Caenorhabditis elegans: one gene and its partner. The protein of the gene in region 1 interacts with the protein of each later gene in a pairwise test. Each region holds a gene or a part of one and is shown in the gene's direction. Other genes may lie near its edges. The genes, in order: npp-25 and Y55F3BR.2.

The links.
Region 2: the proteins of npp-25 (region 1) and Y55F3BR.2 interact in a two-hybrid assay, tested with the Caenorhabditis elegans proteins (one large-scale study listed by BioGRID).

What each region holds. Positions count from the first base shown.
Region 1 is NC_003281.10:12,917,296-12,929,777, reverse strand, and holds npp-25 (Transmembrane protein 33 homolog), read left to right. Parts: upstream 1-3,780; 5' UTR 3,781-3,795; coding exon 3,796-3,912; intron 3,913-3,960; coding exon 3,961-4,099; intron 4,100-5,473; coding exon 5,474-5,673; intron 5,674-7,889; coding exon 7,890-8,249; 3' UTR 8,250-9,501; downstream 9,502-12,482. Other genes in the region: rbm-7 (RRM domain-containing protein), read left to right, coding at 61-197, 1,099-1,304; mrps-10 (Small ribosomal subunit protein uS10m), read right to left, coding at 1,993-2,124, 2,821-2,967, 3,027-3,218; Y37D8A.16 (MARVEL domain-containing protein), read left to right, coding at 11,108-11,161.
Region 2 is NC_003282.8:854,135-863,538, forward strand, and holds the start of Y55F3BR.2 (BPTI/Kunitz inhibitor domain-containing protein), read left to right. Parts: upstream 1-4,795; 5' UTR 4,796-4,797; coding exon 4,798-4,846; intron 4,847-4,896; coding exon 4,897-5,020; intron 5,021-5,645; coding exon 5,646-5,800; intron 5,801-5,993; coding exon 5,994-6,116; intron 6,117-6,641; coding exon 6,642-6,765; intron 6,766-6,815; coding exon 6,816-6,925; intron 6,926-6,972; coding exon 6,973-7,085; intron 7,086-7,964; coding exon 7,965-8,268; intron 8,269-8,615; exon of another isoform or gene 8,616-8,838; intron 8,839-9,087; coding exon 9,088-9,240; intron 9,241-9,404. Other genes in the region: lem-4 (Ankyrin repeat and LEM domain-containing protein 2 homolog), read right to left, coding at 1-100, 149-244, 499-563; Y55F3BR.11 (Ground-like domain-containing protein), read left to right, coding at 1,591-1,681, 1,768-1,880, 2,528-2,701.

The sequences.
Region 1 (12,482 bases):
AAAAACGTTGAAAATCAACAAAAAAAGGCCGAAAAATCATTTTTTTTTTGTCTTTTCCAGAAACGGAAACAACCGTGACTCATGGCAGCAGCAGCAGCCTCCTCGTCATCATCGACAATATGATCCTCTTCCACCTCCACCGCCACCTCCACTGATGGGAGGATCCGGAGGACATTGGAGAAGCGGAGGGGAAAGAGGTAGCAAAAAAATCGATTTTTAGTTGAAATTTCTGAAAAATTGGAGATTTTTAGGCCTGAAATACATGAGAACGGGCTCAAAATAACTGAAAAATGGAAAAAAAATCTTTTTTTTAAAAATTTTTTTTTGCAAAAAATTCAAAATTTCAACCTTTTTTCCGCAAAAAAACATGCTGAAACCCTAAAAATCGATAATTTGCAAGGTTTTTGCGGAAATTAGCCGGAAAATTTGATTTTTAAAAAATTGAGCCAATTTTTGAGGAATTTTAGAAGAACAAATCTATAATTTTTCCGAAACCCCCTCAATATAAGTGAGAAATCGGTGAAAAAATCTTAATTAGAAAAAATTTTTTTTTGTTCAAAAATCTGAAAAATTGGAGATTTTTAGCCCTAAATTGCATAAAAGCAGGCTCAATTTACCTAATTAGGCCTAAAATAACTCAAAAATTGGGAAAAAAAATTACACCAGACGAAAAAAAGAGCATCGTTTGTCCAATTTTCAGACATTTTTCCGCAAAAAAAAATTGCTGAAGCTCAAAAGTGGCCAATTTTAGAGAGTTTCAGGGACTTTTTTTGCGGCAAAAAGTCTGAAAAATCATTCCTAAAATCAAATATTAGAGAAAAATTCAATGAAAACCAATAAATTTTCTGCAGAAAAACGCAGAAATGTCGGAAAAATTCGTTAATTTTTCCAAAAAATCGATTTTTTTTGCAGAAGTTTCTGAAAAGTTCTAGATTTTTAGACCTAAATTTCATGAGAACAAGCTTAATGTACCTAAAATAACTAAAAAAAATTGAATAAAATTGAAAAAGCTGAAAAAAGTTCGCTGAAAAAAGTAACCAATTCAGCCGAAAAACGCAAGAATGTCGGAAAAAAAATCGAAAAATCAATATTTTCCAGGTCCTCCACAATATTCGACTCCGCAAATGCTTCCTCATCAACATTTTGTAAATCAAATGATGCAGCAACAAATTAATAGATCCGCTCCTCCGTACAATGGACGTCATCAGAATTCCACGCCACACCGTCATCACGATCGTCATGGATATGACCGAAGCTCGAGCCGGCATCATCGCAATGATGACAGAAGACGTGAACGTTATTGATCGATGATTCGGGCGGGAAATCATAATTATTTTGATCTTTTTCACTTGTTTTGCCATGTTTTTTGGTCTCATTTTATATATTTAATAAAAGCAAACACAATTTGAAAATATAGAGAAAAATGCAACAACAAAGATCTACTGGAAATTTTCAAAAAAATTTATTTTTAGGCTCCGCCCACTTCCTGGATATCCGGAAATTTCAAGTGATTTTTTTGGAATTTTTTTCCTTTCCAGAAAAACAGATATCTCCAGGAAGTGGGCGGGGCCTAATAAGCCGTTTTTTTTTGAAAAATAAAAAAATCCAAAAAAATTTATTTTTAGGCTCCGCCCACTTCTTGGGCATTCGGAAATTTTCAGTGTTTTTTTTGGAATTTATTTTCCAAAATAACCTATCTCCAAGAAGTGGGCGGGGCCTAAAAAGCAGTTTTTTTTTGAAAATTGTTAAAAAATCAAAAAATTCGGATTTTTTTTGGAAAATCCTAAAAATTCAGAAATTCCACAGAAAAAAAACACCTTTTTTTCAATTTTGGCTAAATTTTGGCCGACCAACCAGCGAATTGCTTCGCCCACTTTCCGACCAATCAGGTGAGAGGTCCACCTTTATTATTTCATTAAAAGTAAACAATTTGAAGAAGGAAAAAAAAACGAAATAACAATAAGGATCTACACACTAGAATTTGGTTATAAATCAATTTTTCTGAATTGTCAGCGGTAGTGGTTGAAGTTCGGTGAATCCGACACGCATTCCGACGCCTTCTGGGATGTTTCGTTGGATGTATTCGAGGAATGTTGAAGCTGTGGAGCCAGTCACGTTGAGGATCTGGAAAAAAAAATTTAAGGTGAAAACACGCCTTTGGGGTCACAGAGACCGAATATCATGATAAAAAAATTCAAAAAAATGTTCCTGACTTTATATGATTTTTTGAAAATTGAAAAAATCTCTTTCTTCCCTTCCCCTAATTCCTATTTAAATTACCGCTAATTGAACTTGTTCGGTGGAGCGCACTTGCTCTATTTTTATTGATTTTATTTTATTTTTTCTCATTATTTCACTGATTTTCTTCAATATTTGTGGTTTTTTATCGGAAAAAGAGAGAAAAATGCAAATTCTTCATAAAAAAAAAATACTGAAAATGGGTAAAACTGTAAAATATGCTAATTTCAAGCTAGCTTGTTGTCTCCAGAACTCATAATTTTAGAGTTTTACCCATTTTCAGTGATTTTTAATGAACAATTTGATTTTATCTTGCATTTTTCTCTCTTTTTCCGATAAAAATACGCAAATATTGAAGAAAATCAGTGAAAGAATGAGAAAAAATAAAATAAATTAATGAAAATATAGCAAGTGCGCTCCACCGAACGAATCCAATTGGCGGAAATTCAATTAGGAATTAGGGGGAAAACTGAGATTTTTCTAATTTTCAAAAAATCATATAAAATCTAGAAAATTTTTTTGAATTTTTTTATCATGATATTCGGTTATTGTGACCCCATAGGCGTTTAATTATTTTCCAACCTCAAGTTTAGAAATGTGTGTTCTCGTCTCATAATGCAATTTATATTTTTTATGGACGAATTTCGAGCGCAGAGCCGGCTGAACCCATCGAATATACGGAAGAACTTCGAGACGACCTTGAGGAATCTCCAGGTGTTGGCAGACTTGCTGAAAATAAATGAAAAATGCAATTTAAAATCAAAAAGACCTGAAAAACGTTCAAATACCTGCAAAAACGACGTATATGACTTCAAAACCGCCTTGTCGTGCCCACGATACTCGATTTCAACTGAGCTGTACAGTTTGTCGGGTAAAACTGCTTGAACTTGCTGTTGCTCGGCCGGGTTCACTGTTGGCGCTAATGTTCGGATGCTTCGGCTTATAAGACCAGTTCTGAGGGATGAAGCGAGTTTTAGCATTCTGAAATTCAGGAAATTTTAATTTATTTTAAAATAAGCTCTTAAAATCTATTTGAATAGCGGAAATTTGATTTTAAAAAAGATTAAATTAAATTTTTTATATAAAAAAGAAAACTGTGCAATCTGACGTCACGCTGCTTGCGTACAATGCGCACAACTTGACGACAATTAATTTTATTTTTTATTTCTAGCTAGAGAAATTCTGCAGTTTTTCTTCAAATTTATGAATTTATATCCGATAAAAGCAGTTTAAAACGATTATTATGAGTAAATAAAGTAAAAAATCACAAAAATATTTTCTGTGCAACGTGCCGTCAAAGTGTTTGCGGTCGTTCTCAAGTATTATCGAGAATGTGTGCTCTGCGGCTCCACATACTCGTTAATTGATTTCCATAGAAACCGCTGGTGTTTTCTTTTGATTTTCAATATGCGTTGCCTTAATTTTTGTTTAAAACAGAAAAAAATCGATGATTCCGGAACATTCTACGCAATTTTTGGGCTAATCCACGTCTCCTAACCTCAATTTTTTCCTTTTTTCCCAATTTCACAGATTTTTTTGCAGAAAAACTTCACAAAAATGGTCGAAATTGTCGAAGAACCCGATGATCATCAATCTTCATCCACCGGAGCTGGATCTTCTGGATCTTCGAGTGCCCCACCACCACCACCACCGCCAGCTTATTCCTCGATTTCAGTGAGAATTTTTGCAGTTTTTTCCAACTAAAAATCAATAATTTTCCAGCAATACGTTTCGGCGAACACAATGGAGTGTGTGCTATTCGCCGCACGAGTTTTGACCGTCTTTTTTGCTCTGAACTACATGATTCCGTTTATTGGATTGGTGCCGGCTCATTCTGCGTATTATAAGATCTTCGCAGCTTGTACGTTATTTGGCAAAAGCCTAAAAGCCCGAATTTCAGACCGGGAATTCGAAAAAATTCGAAAAAATTGCATAATTTAGCCAAAATCCCCAAAAATTATCGATTTCTCCGTTTGATTTTCGTCAGACTCTGCTAATTTTTGTCCTTTATTTTGCAAAAAAAAACAGCATCGCACAGAAAAAGAGGCGGGGCGTAATTTCGCAACCCTGCGGCACAGTTTTTTAGTGTTTTTTTTTAAAATTGATTTTTTAAAATTAAAATTTCGATTTTACATGTTTTATTACCCTTTTTCGATAAAATTTTAATCGAAAAAAAGAGAAAAACAAGAAAAATAAAAATTTTATTTAAAAAAAACAATTTAAAAAAGCTGTAGAAAAACCGTGCCGCAGGGTTGCGAAATTACGCTCCGCCTCTTTTTCTGTGCGGCGAAGCTGATTTTTGCAAAATTCATGGTGCATTTAAAGTCGATATCGGCTATAAAAGTACCATAATCAACGAAAAATGTGAGATTTTGCAAAAAAAAATCAACATCGCACAGAAAAAGAGGTGGAGCGTAATTTCGCAACCCTGCGGCACGGTTTTTTTCCACTGCTTTTTTGAAATTGATTTTTTTTTTCAATAAAATTTCGATTTCACATATTTTATTATCTTTTTTCGATAGAATTTTATTCTAAAAAGAGGAAAAATCAAAAATTTTATTTTAAAACATTCAATTTTAAAAAAGCAGCTAAAAAACCGTGCCGCAGGATTGCAAAATAAGCTCCGCCTCTTTTTCTGTGCGATACTCCTTTTTTGCAAAATTCACGGTGCATTAAACGTCGATATCGGCTACAAAAGTACCGTAATCAACGAAAAAATGTGAGATTTTGCAAAAAAAAAAAGCAGCATCGCACAGAAAAAGAGGCGGCGCGTAATTTTGCAACCCTGCGGCACGGTTTTTCCACTGCTTTTTTGAAATTGATTAAAAAAAAACTTTCGATTTTACATGTTTTATTATCTTTTTTCGATAGAATTTTATTCGAAAAAAAAAGAGAAAAACAAGTAAAATCGAAATTTTATTGAGAAAAATGGAGAAAAAACCGTGCCGCAGGGTTGCAAAATTAAGCTCCGCCCCTTTTTCTGTGCGATGCTCTTGCAAAAATGTGCAAAATATGACAAAAAATTGAATAAAATCCAATTTTTATTGAGAAAAAAGAAAAATCGAAAATTCATTGGAAAACCGTGCCGCAGGGTTGCAAAATTACGCTCCGCCTCTTTTTCTATGCGATGCTCTTGCAAAAATGTGCAGAATATGACAAAAAATTGAATAAAAATCCAATTTTTAACCGCAAAATTTGAGATTTTTTTTTCCAAAAAAAAACTTTTTTTTTTCAGCCGCCGCCACATTCGCCCTCCGTCTTCACACGAGAATTCAAGGACAATTTGCACTGAATGCGCAGTTTATTCAGCGTCTCATCATCGAAGATTCATTCCATTATCTCGTCTATTCTGTCGTATTCCTGATGGCTGCTCCAGTAAGCATGGCTGCTCTTCCAGTTACTATCTATGCGGCTCTTCATGCTTGCACTTTTATGGTAAAGTTTTGGACTGAACCACTGCAACTTTTTCCTCACGAGGGACGAGGAAAAGTGGTTTCTAGGCCATGGCCGAGGGGCCGACAAGTTTCAGCGGCCATTTATCTTGCTTTGTTTTCCGCCTGTTTTCTTTTGTTTTTCATCGATTTTTTTCGTTTTTTCTTATTAAAACTGATAAATAAATACTTTTTGCAGATGCTAAAACAATTTCCAAGTAAAAAATTATGTATTCAGTGGGCAAGCAGCGGTGAAAGTGGTCAATGTAAAATGATGGATTACGGGAATACAAAACCTAAACTTTTTCTGAAACATGATACATATGCTGCTTAGATGTTGAAATTACCTGATTTTCATAACGAGACCGCTGAAAAAGTTTTGAGGTTTTCAAAATTCAACTTTTTGTGCGAAAATCTCGACTTTTTCACCGAAAAAGTTGAATTTTGGAAAATCTCGACTTTTTCACCGAAAAAGTTGAATTTTGGAAACCTCAAAACTTTTTCAGCGGTCTCGTTATGAAAATCAGGTAATTTCAGCATTTAAGCAGCATATGTATCATGTTTCAGAAAAAGTATAGGTTTTGTATTCCCGTAATCCATCATTTTACATTGACCACTTTCACCGCTGCTTGCCCACTGAATACATTATTTTTTCACTTGGAAATTGTTTTAGCATCTGCAAAAAGTATTTATTTATCAGTTTTAGTAAGAAAAAACGGGAAAAAGCTGTGAAAAACAAAAGAAAACAGGCGGAAAACAAAGCAAGATAAATGGCCGCTGAAACTTGTCGGCCCCTCGGCCATGGCCTAGAAACCACTTTTCCTCGTCCCTCGTGAGGAAAAAGTTGCAGTGATGACCCAAAACTATTGAATTTCATAAAGAAACTTCTCAAAAAACGCCCAAAACATTTTTTATGACCCTGATTTTGAAAAAAAAAATCTGAATTTTTTGCATTTTTTGGTGGTCATTTACGCACGTTTTTGAGTTGAGAGAAATTCGAAACATGATCAAAATTGTATGCTTTTAGCCTCCTAAAACTTTTCAAAAAAATTTTGAACATTTTTTATTTACTGTCAAAAAGTGGCAATTACTCAGTTTTTGCCACTCATAATTTTGGAAGTCGACCAAAAAAACATTTTTTTTTTCGACTGTTTTTATGTTTTAATTTTGTTTAAATTATTTGTATTAGAACATTGTAGGGGTCGAAACATGCGACATTTCTTTAAATTTCCTCAAAAAGATTGTAATTTTCAAAATTTTGGCAATTTGCCAAAACTTTGCCCGGAAATTATGAAAATCTATATATTTTTTTTTGGAGTATTTTATTATGATATTCGGTTGTTTTGGATCATTATAAGTGCATTTAGACAAAATCCTCACGGGCGCTACTCCCCCTTTAAATATATAACATGTCCTTACGAAAATCGGTTTTTCGGGCCGTAGTAGAGTTGAAATTTTTCGATTTAAATGACCACAAAAATAACTGTTTAAAGGTACACACCCTGTGGGGAAATTGCTTTAAAATACGCCTATGGTACCACAATGACCGAATATCATGATAATATGATTTTTTGAAAATTGAAAAAATCTCAGTTTTTGCCTAATTATTTTTGAATTTCCGCCAATTGGATTTGTTCGATGGAGCGCGCTTGCACGATTTTAAATTTATTTATTTTATTTTTTGTTATTTTCCACCGATTTTCAATGTTTTCGGTGTATTTTTGCTTGAGTTTTAGAGAAAAAGTCAAGATAAATGCAAATTTTCGATAAAAAAGCACTACGCTGACATAGTAAAAATGAAAAAGTAACGCTTTTAAACGATTTCAAACTTGAATTAATTAATTTCACTGATTTACGACTGCAACCGTGCTTTTTAATCGAAAATTTGCATTTATTTTGACTTTTTCTCTAAAATTCAAGCAAAAATACACCGAAAACATTAAAAATCGGTGGAAAATAAGTAACAAAAAATAAAATAATTAAATTTAAAAACGTGCAAGCGCGCTCCATCGAACGAATCCAATTGGCGGTAATTCAAATAGGAATTCCACGCAAACTGAGATTTTTTTCCAATTTTCAAAAAATCATATAGAATTTAGAAAAAAATTTTTGAATTTTTTGAATTTTTAATCATGATATTCGGTCATTGTGGTACCATAGGCGTGTTTTAAACCAATTTCCCCACTGACGCTACTCCACATTTAATAAGTAATTTTTCAGACGAAAATCCTACGTGAAACCGGTCACACCAGCTCAATCATCCCAAAACTGGAACAATTCACTGCTCATCAAACCCAAAATGCTCTCGGAATCATCGCTTGCTCGGAAATCTTTCTCGTTCCACTGCTCGTCTCGCTGATTTTCAGTGGAAAAGGATCACTGCTCCTGCCGTTCGCCTACTACCGGTTCCTTTCGCTGAGATACGCCTCCAGACGGAATCCGTCGACTCGTCAAGCGTTCGCGCAAATGCGTGGATCACTTCAGAATGTTGCGATGAGCTCGAGTTGCCCCCGTCCGATTAGCTCACTGATCTACAGAGCTATTGATTTCATCTCGGCTAGAGCTCCGCCAGTCATGTGATTTATTAATTGAACTTTTTTTATATATTTTTTTGTTGTTACCACAAAAACACTGATTTTCTAGATTTTTGTTGAAAAATCCAAAAAAAATTGGTTTTTAGGCTCCGCCCACTTCTTGGATATCCGGAAATTTTAAGTGTTTTTTTTTTTGGAATTTATTTTCCAGAAAAAATATCTCCAAAAAGTGGGTGGGGCCTAATAAGCCTTGTTTTTTTTTTTGAAAAATTAAACAAAAAATCCAAAAAATTTATTATCAGGCTCCGCCCACTTCTTGGATATCCGGAAATTTTAAGTGTTTTTTTGGAATTTATTTTTCAAAAAACATCTCCAAAAAGTGGGCGGAGCCTAATAAGCCGTTTTTTTTTTTTGAAAAATTGAAAAAAAATCCAAAAAGTTTGGATTTTTTTGGAAAACCCAAAAAATCCAGAAATTCCACAAAAAAAAACGGCTTAAAATGTTTTTTTTTTTTCAATTTTGGCTAAATTCTGGCCGACCAATCAGCGAATTGCTCCGCCCACTTTTCGACCAATCAGATGAAGTGGGATTTTTTGAAGCGAATTCCCCATTTTGTGCACAAATTCTAGATTTTCAGTGTTTTTTCCAATATTTTTTTTCTGCCAAACATCCGATTTCTTCCCCTTTTCGCTTACATTTTTCCGCTTTTTCCATAATTTTTCATGTGCTCTTTCAGATCTTCTCCTCCCCCTTCCTACCCGCCCTTTATATTACACAAACGATTTTTGCACCAAAAATAGCGGTCTCGCCACGACTTTTTGCTGGAAATTTTTTTTTCGGCATTAAATGGCAGAAAATAGGCCGTAATGAGCTTTTTAAAATTTGAAAAAAAATTGAAAAAAAAAATTTCCTAATTTTTAAGAATTTTTTTTCCAAAATTTTCAAAACAAAAAAAAGACTGATTAAGCCCCGGCAACCTTTTGGAAATATCCTTTTTTCTGCAAAAAAAAAAATTTAAAAAAAAACAATTTTTTTAAATTTTTTTTCAAAATTTCCAAAAAAAACGGCCGGCTTCTGCAAAAAAATCCAAAAAAAAATCAATTTTTAAAAAAATTTTTTCCAAATATTTTAAATACTTATATTCGGTCATTACGGTCTGTTTTCTGCCTGTTCCGCCTAGAAATTGTCGTGTCGAGACCCGCTAAATTCTGATGCCCTTTCCATTATTTCCTCAAAAAATTCATATTAAATTACTATCGATTCTATCAAAGTCGAGCTTTTCCTCTACATAAACATTTTCATTTGCTCATTTGTGCACATGTTCAGCAGCTTGGAACCCTTTCCCGCTAGGGCTCAAGCCGCCGAAATGCAAATAGTCAACCTCCTCAACGTATACAATTTATCGATTCGGTTCCCCCCCTCCTACCTGCCTGCTCACCTTGTTATGCAATTCCGTAGGCAAACAGTCAAGCCCCCCATGGAACATTGAAATATGAGAGGTTCAGAAATGTAGAAGTATGAAAATAGTGTTGAAGACAGAGAGAGACACAGACACTCTATATTTGCTCTTTCATGATTCACCGGCGCGGCGAGCGATGGGAGGTCTCTCGCCTGCTTCTCCATCTCTCTTCACTTTTCGACTTTCTGCAGGGAAACTGATGTTGTATACTGTCATCATATGACTATACGGAAAATTGTTTTTTTTTTCGATTTTTTAAATCAAACTTCTGGGCCCTTTTAAATTTAGAAGACTTAGATTAATTCTCAATAGGGCAGGTTTTCTGATCCTTCAATTTTAAAATTTTTAAATTTCCTGCTAAAGCGCCCCCACGAATTTCTGGCTTCCCTCATAAATTGAAATGGAAGAGTTTGCCGGACTAGGCCATTTTGGCTCGGCCATATCTGGGGTAGATTTCCGGTGCGTTGCGTGTCGCGTCGCGGCTTGTAAAACTAACTGTATTTATCCGTGTGGAGTACACGACACTTTCCCAAGCGTTGTCCGGCGGGCAATTGTCAATGGAGCGCGTAAAATTCAAAGAGGACGGCCAGAACCCCGTGGCGTCCAAATATAATTATTTTTGTTAAATAATTAGGTCAGCAAACGCGCTCTATTGAAAACCCTTTGTGTACTCCCCCAATAGAAGATTTTTTGAGTTGAAACAATTATTTGCATCGCTCGTAAACCTGAAAAAAAAATTGAAATCAAGGTGCAAGCGCGCTTCACGGCGAAATTAACACTCTCCGCCCCTGGGTCTTGGGTCTCGTTAGGTATTGGCGGGAAACTCGTAAATTTTCAAGCATTTTTAGTCGTTTTTGTTTAGTTTTCAGTATTTTTTAATGCTGAAACATTATTTCGACAAAAACAATACGAAAAATAATTGAAAACGCCAATAACCTAACGAGACCCAAATTTGAACCGCGATTACACCTCGATTTGAAAAACCGACTTCACGGGGTTCTGGCATTCATCATTGAATTTTTCGCGCTCCATTTGACAAGCCGGACAACGCGTGGGAAAGTCGTGTACTCCACACGGACAAATACATTTAGTTTTACAATCGAGCCGCGACGCGACACGCAACGCGCCGTAAATCTACCCCAGATATGGCCGAGCCAAAATGGCCTAGTTCGGCAAACTCTTCCATTTCAATGTATGAGGGAAGCCAGACGTAAATACCCAACAAGACCCAAATTTTTCATTGGAGCGCCTTTGCACCTCGATTTGAAAAGCCGATTTTTTCTGCGTCTTCATAATATCAATTTTTTCGAAATCCCATTCTATGCAAATAAGCTCTATTGTGAAAAATTTTGCATTATCAATGGAGCGAAGTTCCAACCTATCCCCTACTTTTTTCTTAATGTATAATTTATTTTTCAGTTCTTTTTACTTAATATTTACAGAAAATGGCGTTTCCAAGCCAGCTGCTCATCGGTATGGGCATTAAAATTGTGATTATTGTAAGTTTTTTTCGCGCTGAATGGGTGGCCTAGAATACGTGGCCTAGAAAAATTGAAAACCTGGGCCTCTCAGCTTACATTAAATAATGTCTGGCCGAATTTTAGAATTTTCTAGGCCACGCAGCACCTCTGAGGGACCGAGAATATAAAAAAATTATTGCCACGCAAAATATCTCGTAGCGAAAACTACAGTAATTCTTTACATGACTACTGTAGCGCTGGTGTCGATTGACGGGCTCGATTTTTTTAACGTTGTCACTATTCGGTTAATCAATTAATATAAGCCCGTAAATCGACACAAGGTCATTTAATGAATTACTGTAGTTTTCGCTACGAGATATAGTTATATTTTGTGCGTCAAATATGTTGTGCAATATGCATTCTCAGAATTCTGTGTTCCCATAATATCGATTTTCGAATTTTTTCGAAACTTCTTTCTAAAATTGTTTTGCTTTTCCAAATTGTCTGCGTCTAGCCTATCTCTCACTCATTTTCCAAATATATAACGTAAAACAATGTTAACCATTGTTATCAGTAGGCTGTAGACCTTGAGACTTTCCATCGTAAAGAGCATACTCGCTCTACAAACAAATATTTGCATATTGCGGGGTGAAACTTTGAAGACGACCCGCCACCCACCTGAAGACATTAGTCATGCACCGGAACTGTATACATTTGGAAATAAACTGGAAATTGAGGAAAAAATTCTGAGAATACGTTTTGCACAACATATTTGACGCGCAAAATATATCTTAGCGAAAACGAAAACTACAGTAATCCATTAAATGACTACTGTAGCGCTTGTGTCGATTTACGGGGGGCGATCTTTGAAAGGATCAATTATTTATACTGTAGCGCTAATATTATATCGATAAAATAAATGATTACCGTAAATCGATACGAGCGCTACAATAGTCATTTTAAGGATTACTGTAGTTTTCGCTACGAGATATAGTTATATTTTGCGCGTCAAATATGTTGCGCAATACACATTCTGAGAATTTTGTGTTCCCGTAAGAAAATTACCGTATTTGCTTTAATTTGCTGGAAAACTTTTTATTCAAAATAAAATTGGGAAATTATTCAGAAAGAAACTTTGTGTTGCAAATTGCAAATAACGCTTTTTTTTTGTAAATTTTTTTAATTCATGAAACAATTCTACAAAATGACACCTAAATAATTTTTTTTTAATTGATTAAAATGCTCAAAAACTGCATCAAAGTTGTCATTTTCTGTCGGATTATTTTTTTTAGGAGATCGGCAATTTTCAGCTAATTTTGGAGCATTTTTGAGCATTTTTTTGACATTCTTTAACTTCAAT
Region 2 (9,404 bases), on another chromosome or scaffold:
AAAGTCCATCGCTTCTCGTGGCGTTCCGAATTTCTTAAAACGAGCCGACATGCTTTTTCCTTCGGCCGAGTTCACGAATTTCGCCACTTCCTTGACGCTTCTGTAAAAAAAATCGAAATTTTCAGCGAAAAATCGAGTAAAAACTCACTTATACAAGTCTCTGGGCGATTTTAGCATATCTTCCATGGAATATGCCACGTAGACCGGTCCCTCAGTCTCCTGCACCGGTGTATTTGACATTTTACTGCAAAAAAACAATTAAAAAATGAGAAAAATCGACGAAAATCCAATAAAAAACCGATAAAAACCGATATTTCCTCATTTAAAACACCCGCTGAAATACGCTAAACAACATGCAACCCGCAATATCGGAGCGTCGTTGTAGCGCTTTCTGTCTCCGTCTCTCACTTTCCTACACTCTCTCAGGGGGTAAACTTAAAATCGCTGAAAATCGATCGATTTTTTTGCAAAAAAATATATTAAATAATGTAAAGTCACCTGAAATTACTTCTGAAATATATTATAGCAAGAATTACAGCTAGAATTGCAGATTTTCGCCCCATAAACTCTTGAATAAGAGTTTGGTGAGAAAAGAAACAGAAAAAAGTGATGAGGCAACAAAAACAGCTCGAATTTCGCAACTATCACATGATTTTCGAATTTTTTCGAATAAATATTGCAATAGAGCGCAGTTTTATCTGCTAATTTGTGAAAACCTGGCGGATTTTCAGTCATTTTTTTACGAAAAATTTGAATTTTCAGCAAAAAAATCACTAGGCCACCTAAAGAAAAGTTAGGCCACCAATTTTTTTGTTGCAAATTTTTGCAAAACTTGAGGTTTTTGATGAAGTTTTTTACGAAAATTTCAAATTTTCAATTAACTTTTTCTAATTTCACGCGGTTTTCCCGCATTTTTGCAGCAAAATATTCCTAGGCCATCACAAAAAAATTAGGCCACCAATTTTTTGTTGCAAGACTTGAGGTTTTTGATGAAATTTTAACGAAAAATCCGAATTTTCAGTTAACTGTTTCTAATTTTTTGCGGTTTTTTCTAATTTTTCAGTAAAAATTTCTAGGCCACCAGAAAAAAGTTAGGCCACCAATTTTTAAATGCAAAACTTGGGGTTTATGATAAAATTTTCACGTGAAATTCAAATATTCTGGTAATTTTTCGCATTTTCTCGCATTTGTCAACAAAAAAATCCTAGGCCACCTAAACAAAAAGTTAGGCCACAAATTTTTTTGCTGCACAATTTGGGTTTTTGATGAAATTTTTACGAAAAATTCGAATTTTCAGTCAACTTTTCAAAAAAAAAACTACATTTTTGGTAATTTTCATCACAAAAAATCGGGGTTTTCGGAAACATGCACAGTAACATCCCAATTTTTCAGAAAATATCAATTTTTTCCAGATTTTTTCGCCGGATTCTCAACGAAGCGCGTTTGCATTCTCCCCGATTTTCGAAAAATCGTCACCATGTTCCTTATCACTTATCAGAAGAAAATGAATAATTAAAATGTTTCTTATCGGGGTGTCTAATTGACTCTTCGAGCACCTGACACAGTGTCACCAGATGCACCTGCCGGAAAATGCGCCGATTTTTGCTTCTGTTCCACGTATTTTTTGCGTTTTCACACAGTTTTCCTGTTAGAAATGATGATCGTGGAGTTTTGCCGAATAGTAAGTTTTTACTGGGAAACAATTATTTTTGATTTGAAACTAAAAAAAATCTGAGAAAAAACATTCTTTTCAAAGTTTTTTTTCAGTCGACGCTCTATTCTGTACAAATAAGGATTTAAGACAAGTAGTCTTCAATGCATTGCAAAATATTACAAATCCAAAGGCAATCGCCGTTGATCAAGTTCAGGCAGCTATTCAAGTGAGTTTTTTTCTTTTTTTTTCGCCGAAAAAATTCGAAAAACATTTTCTTATCTATTTTCTTACAAATTTTCGAGTTCTCGCAAATTTTTGTGTTAAACCTAACAATTTCAGTGTAAAATTTCATAGTTTCGGGATTAGCTTTGGCTTAGGCTTACAATTAGGCTAAGACTTATCCTTAGGATTAGTCTTAAGTTTAGGCTTAACCGTAGGGTTAGGCTTAAGCTTAGGTTTAAGCTTAGGATTAGGCGTCGGCTTAGGCTTGGCCTTAGAATCAGGCTTAGGTTTAGGCTTGAGCTTAGACGTAGGCTTATGAAATAAAAATATAGATTTTAATTTAGTTGTTTATACTAAAATCACCAAATGTTCCAATTCCAATAATTTCAAAACGACTTTCTGGAATCTTTTCATTTACATTCGAAAAAATAAAAACCGGAAAAAAAATTACAGAGTTTTAAAATTAAAGTGTTTGGAGCAGCCACGCGCTTCTGGCTTCCCACGAATTTTTGAATGTAAAAGTCTGCCGAACTAGGCCATTTGAGCTCGGCCATGGTCGTGGTAGATTAACGCCAAAAATGCATTGAGGAAGACCAGAAGCCCGTGAGCACCACCACCGACAAAATTTGCACTCAAAAGTATATATTCCAGACCGCCCTAATCCCGAATTTCGCGTCTTCCGGTGGCACATGGCTTGTCAGTGCCACGTCATATCATCGTGTAAATGGATATGTGGATGATCGGGCGACGAGTATGGACACGTTTTGTGCTGTTAATGATATTAACTTGAGTATGTATATTGTAATTATGAAAATCGATAAATGAATTTAGATTCTAAAAAAGAGTTATGACGGTTCAAAGATTACCTAAGATTAGTTAAACTTTGAAATTAACTTTGACCTATACAAGTTAATTATCTTGCGTTTCCAACAAAAATTATCGACTCGACTAATACCTTTAAATGAAGTGAAATTCCTGAGTACTCTTGCATAGTGATTTAGGACTTTTTCGTGAAACAATCGTAAGATCCCCTTCAATTTTGACCAATCCTCAATGTTTTTCCAGTACGATCGGAACAAAACCTCCAAAAAAAAGGCGTCCAAGGCGCGAACACTCTTGACACATTTCCCCGCCGCCGTATACTATTTGGTCAAGGAGCTTCGAAAAAGATGAAGAAGCTCGAACTGTTCAGTTTGTTTACCCATAAAGATATATATCCCTCTCGCCCGTTCCGATACTATTTGAGCACGTAATCGAGAAATAGTGTGGGATATTGAGAGTGTAAGGCGACGAGAGATCGGCTATTCACACTGGGGGACAGCAGGATCGTGTATTTCAGAAGTGGGTGGGAGATGAGATGAGGTAATTGAAAATGAGCCGCCGCCGCCGTAGCCGACCCCATTCAGTTTTAATTTCCCGTCTTTCTGCACTTTTTGATCTGACCGATTAAATAATTGATAATTTTTTAAATTTGAAACTAATAGTGTTAACATAAGTATATTCTTATCAACATTTTTGTTGTTCACAGCTTTTTTCTAGAGTTGCTCTGAAAAAAATTACAGCGGCCGGGCCGACACTTCGCAGGTTTCCAGTTTGGGCCAGCGAAGTGTCAGCCGCTGTCACTTTCAAAGCTTTAAAAACATTTTTGTAGTTAATAACGTTCTCTAGCTCACACCTGAAACGGCCTTTTGGGACGAGTCTGTCTGTGCCCGCAAAGTGTCGGCCGCTGTAACATTTTCCAAGGAACAGCTTTAAAAAACTGTCAACTGCAAAACTTTTAAATATATTATTATCTAAATTATTGTAGTTGACAATTCTTTTCTAGCTCCGCTATGAAAAAATTGCAGCGACCGACACCTCACTGGTTTCATTTGGGACGCTGCCTGTCTGGGCCAGCGATGTGTCGGCCGCTGTAACTCTCAAAACTGTTTAATATATAACACTATCTACATTTGTGTGGTTAAAAAATTTTCAAGCTCAGCCCTGAAAAAAGTTACAGTGGCCGACACTTCGTAGGTTTCTTTTGGGCCACTGCCCGGAAGGTGTCGGCCGCTGTAACATTTTCAAGTAAAGAGCTGGAAAAAAGTTGTTCACTGCATAACTGAATTTTTATAGTTGACAACTTTTCTATAGCTGGCTCCTGAAATGAGCGCCGCCGACACCTCACTGGTCTAGATTCCGGACCAGCCAGGTGAGCAAGTTTTTCTACAGAAAAATCAAAACTTCTTCTCACTTTCCACACTTTTGTCAATAAAACCCCAAAATTTCAAGTGTTTTTCAACAAGCACCGCACCGCTAACTTTCAAGTGTGATTTTTCACGCGTTGACCCTTTAGAGCTCCGTGTTTGCTTTTCATTTATGAAAGTAATTGATAGCGGTCATTCAAATGTACAAATATCGTGGTTATATTCATTATTTACTTCCATATTTTAAGTTATATCCCGCGCAATTAGAAAAAAAGAACAAAAAAAGGCAAACCTATAAAGTGTCGGCCGCTTTAACTTTTTCCAGGGCAAAGCTAGAAAAATATTGTCAACAACAAAAATGTAGACGGTATTAAGTTAGACGGTTTTGTAAGTGAAAAATTTTTTTATAGCTCCACTCTGAAAGGAGTCCTAGCAGCCGACACATAGCGGGTTGGCATTATAGACACCTGTGAGATGTCGGCCGCTCTAACTTTGTTCACAGCAAGTGTAATAGCGTTTTTTAAATAAAAAAATATAACTGATATTGCACTAAAAAATTTCGTAGTTGACAACTTTTTTCTAGCTTTGCCCTAAACAAAGTTAGAGCGGCTGACATCTGGCGGTTCCAAAAATAGGGCCTAGAAAACCGTGAGATGTCGGCCGCATACTTCAACTTCTAACTTCTTTATTTCTCAAATACTCTTCTTTAAAATTCATTCCAAAAACTTTTCAGGTATGATACCGTACCTACTGTTAATATGGGGTGCCCTGGGAGCTTCTGAGGGTGAGTACCAACTCTTTGAGCTGAGAAATTGTTGAAAATCAAATTTCCAGCTCTCCCAGAATGCCAAATCAATGAAATTTGCTCAAACTGCAGCCTAAAAGCAGAGCTCTCAACAAAATGTGAAATAAGCCAAGATGTCAAAGAAGCCTTTCTTTTTTGTAATCCAAGGACAAAGTGAGTTTTTTCGTAGACTACAGTACTCCAACGACGTATACAAAGTTCGAATTCAGAGTTTCCTTAAAATTTTGGGCCAAAGCTCAAAAAACTAGAATTCTCTCTAGCTCAATTTTAAAACTTTTCCGGGCTACTGCATGCAGCGCCAAAGTACTCAAACACTGAACTTGACAAGCTTTTGAGCTGGAGCTCTAAAAATTTCGGAGTTTACTAATGAACTATAGAGAATTCCAATTTTTAACAAAAAATTTGTGGAAAAATTTTTGAACTTCAGTTATGATTAATTTTGCCAAGGAGACGGGTGAAAATTATCTTCGAGTTTGTATGTCGAAAATGTTATGTTAAAATTTGAAATCTTTGCAAAAATTGGACTCGAACACAAAAAACTAGACCCCGGTAGCTCAATATTGAAAATTTCCGGGTTACTGTAGCTCCAAAAGTCCGCAAACACCGACTACCGTATTCCAATCAACCAAACTTGACAGGATTTTGAGCTAGTGTTCTGAAAAGTTAGGAGTGTACTAATTGAGCTATGAGAAATTTGAATTTCTAACTGAAAATTCGTGAAACAACTCAATTTTTCTGAAAATTTGAGTTCATTCCATATCAATATTTAACTTTCCAGAAAAATCGATATCGAACACAGTTCCTATTTGACGTGCACAAATGGTACCTGGAAGCAGGAGATTTGCTCAGAGGATGGACGGGTGCATTTCAGTCTGAGTACCCGGGATTGTGTGGATCCGGCTATGCAGGTTTTCCACTCACAGGGGACTTCTGGTAAGCTTTTTTTAGAGAGAACAAAAATGTCGGAATTTTTTTTCAAAAAGTTTTTAATTATGAATTCTAATTGTTTTATAATGATTCAGCTTACCGAGAGTGAGTAGAATACGAATTTGGTAGTTAAAACAAAAAAGTTGAAAAAACTGAAAAAAAAATCATTGGAATTTTTACATATTTTAATTTTTTTTAGGATCCGGTCGGGTTGGAGACGTATGTTCCTTTAACACAGATTGCCTTGGCGGAATGTTCTGTGCAATTGGTCAATGTAGATGTCTATCGACTTATGTCGCTGTCGATGCTTATTGTTATGAAAGTAAGTTTGCCTACGTGCCTACATCCTGCCTACCTTGTGCCTACCTTATGGCTACTTGCATATAGATAAGCATGGCCAAAGTCTGCGGGACTATATCTTGCCTATTCTGTGCCTACCCTATGCCTACATTTTGCCCACTTGTCTACATGCCTACCTTCACCGTTGCCTAGCCAAGGTTACTTCTTGAAGCTTACGTGAATACATCTAGCCTACTTTACGCCTACATCCTGCCTATTTTGTGCCGAGCTCATGCCTACCTTTCACCTACCCATGGCTACTTTGAGTCTAGTTTGTGTATATTTTAAGCATATCCCATGCCTAGCTTGTGCCTACATCGGACCTATCGAAAGCCTGCCTAGCTTCTGGGCTACCGTATGCCTGCGTTAAGCCTGCATCATGCCTGCTTCTCACATTTGCCTAATTAAACTCTGCCTATACAATTCCTGTCGAATTAAGTAGGCAAATAGGTAGATGGGTAGGCAGGTAGGAATAGGCATAGGTACTAACTTGTACCTACATTTTCAGAAATCTCGCCATCCGATTCCGGGTGCTTCTACGATACCCAATGCGCATCGGTCTGGCCAGATTCCTACTGTAAAAACGGACAATGTATGTGCCCGTCGGAGGATATGATCGCAGTTAAGACCAAGTTGGTTTCATGCTCCGTGAGCCCAGATGACTAACCTTAACCATTTCCAGAGACGGTACCCTCTGCGTGTGGTCCACAAGCTCCGAGCCATCCTGCCCGCTGCCTTCCCTCCCGCCTCCGGACTCGCCGTCGAGTTTGGTGGTTCTTCCAGCGGCTGCTGGTAAGTTTCAGGATAATTTTCAGAATTTTCAGTACATTAAATTTCAGGTAAAACCAGTGTAACAATTGCTCCGTGCAACCCGCACAGCTCGGACACTCCAAAACGAGAGGAGGACCTTTTGGGCAAACAGCACGACTTCAAGTGCTCGGTTCGGGGATTCGTGAGTTTTTTTTTTGAGTTTGGAGTGAAAATCCAAATAGAGCACGCCAGGAGCTTCAATTTAAGTATAATCATGACTAGGTTCCGAACAATTTCGGGTCCCACCACGAATTTCACCGGGGTTACTGTAGTTTTCGTGGCGAGACCCAAACCGAAGGAAAGTATGTCATGATTATACTTATTTTGAAGCTCTTGGCGAGCTGGACCGCAATAAAACAAGTAGGATTCATATTTGTGATTTTTTGAAAAAAAAATTTGCAACTGTTTTTTTTTCGAAATTTCCAAAGAAAACCCAAATTCAAAGATTTTTCGCAATTTTCTCAATTTTTAATTTTAAATGCAAAAATAATGCTCTGCTCATCGCGAGCTTCAATTTAAGTATAACCATAGCCTATCTAGCTCCAAATAAAGCAATTTCGGGTCCCACCACGAAAGTCTCGGGTTACTGTAGTTTTCCTGGCGGGACCAAAAAATTGTGAGAACCTAGTCATGTTTATACTTAAGCTGAAGCTCTTAGCATGCCGATTGTTAATTTTGTAACAAAATTTGAAAAAAAAACGGAGAATTTGCGAATTTTCAAAAAATTAAAAAATATTTCCAAAATGTTTTTTTTTAATTTTTCTAGTTTTCTCAATTTTCCACTTGAGTGACTCTTTTGTACTTTAGTTAAACAAAGCTGATTCATGAGAAGTATAAAAATGCTTACTCAAAATTGGGTCCCACCACGAAAACTACAGTATCCCCGACGATTTTCGTAGCGGGACCCAAAATTGTTTCGATGGAACCTTGCCATGATTCTAATTATTTTGAAGCTCTCATTGTGCTGAATTCAATTATTGCAATTGTTTTGTGAAGAATTCAATTTTCCAAAAACTTCCAGCTAGGAGATGAGCCGGAGCCACAGGATGTCTCCGACCTGTACGACTGCATAGACAACTCGAAATTCTGGAAGGATCAGGGAATGGATACAAGTTCCCATCCAATCGGTGTATGTTGTATGAATCGAGCTTTTACCTGCATGCAACCGAAAAAAGGAGAATCTGATGCACTTGGCTCCGTGCCAAGATGGTATTTTAACTCTGTGATGGGCTCTTGTCAGCAGTTTCTGTTCGATCCAACTGGCTCAGAAGTGTCCCCGAATAATTTTGAGACTCTGGACCATTGTGAGAGTTACTGCAAAGATAGTGAGTTTTTTTTTGTGGAAATTTTTTTTCAGAATTTCTCAGTTTTTATAGTCTCCAAAATTTTTTTTATTTGTTTGTGCACGGAATTCTGGCTTCCCTCATAAATCGAAATGGCAGAGTTTGCCGAACTAGGCCATTTTGGGTCCGAGAGAATTTGTGTAGATTCTCTCGGACCCATTTAGTTGCAAAACAAAATTTTGTTGTCCGCGTGGTGTACACGACTTTCCCACGAGTTGTCCGTCAGGCGATTGTCAATGGAGCGCGAAAATTCAATGAGAAAGGCCAGAACCCCGTGTTTGTGCTCAGCTCACTGAGATCACTCAAACAAATATAAACATGCAATATTTCCATTTAGTTTGGTTGATTTGGGTCCCGCCACGAAAACTCTTGCGCTACCGTTTTTTTCGTGGCGGGACCCGAAAAAGAGGGAAGTATGTCATGTTTGTACTTATTTTGAAGCTCTCGATGAGATAAACGCAGTTTTGTTTGAGATAATGACTAAAAAAAGACATTTAAAATTTTAGAATTTTTTTTCGAAATTTTTTTTTTCAGAAAATGAAACAATTTTCATTTTTTTGGAATGCTATTTATAAGTTCATCTTCAGCGCGTCGAGAGCTTCAATTTAAGTATAATCATGACTATTATCTACCCACGTTGGGTCCCACCACGAAAACCCCGGGGGGTACTGTAGCTTTCGTGGTGGGAACCGCAGTCAGAAAAAAGTAGATCATGATTGTACTTTTCTGAAAGCTCTCATCATTCTACACACAAATCTCCGATTTGCAAAATCCGATCAAAAAAAGTTAAAAAAATTTCAGCCTGTCCACGTGGAAATCCAGCCTACCTTTCCACCAAAGGGTCTCCGAACAGTGCTCGTCTACCACAAACCGGATGCTCCACTGCTAATCCTTGTACGGATCCATTTGTGTGCACAGAAGTCGCTAGTCAGTCAATGTGTTGTGCGAGCAGAAGTAAGTGGGATTTAAAAAAAAATTGTTTTTTTGGAACTTTTTTTTGTTCAGATTTTTTTCAGTTTACGTAAAAATGCCAATTCATTATAATTTTTGAACTGAACTCACTGAGAGCTTTACCTTGACTAAAATCATGACACATTTTGCTCCAAATTGGAGAAAGT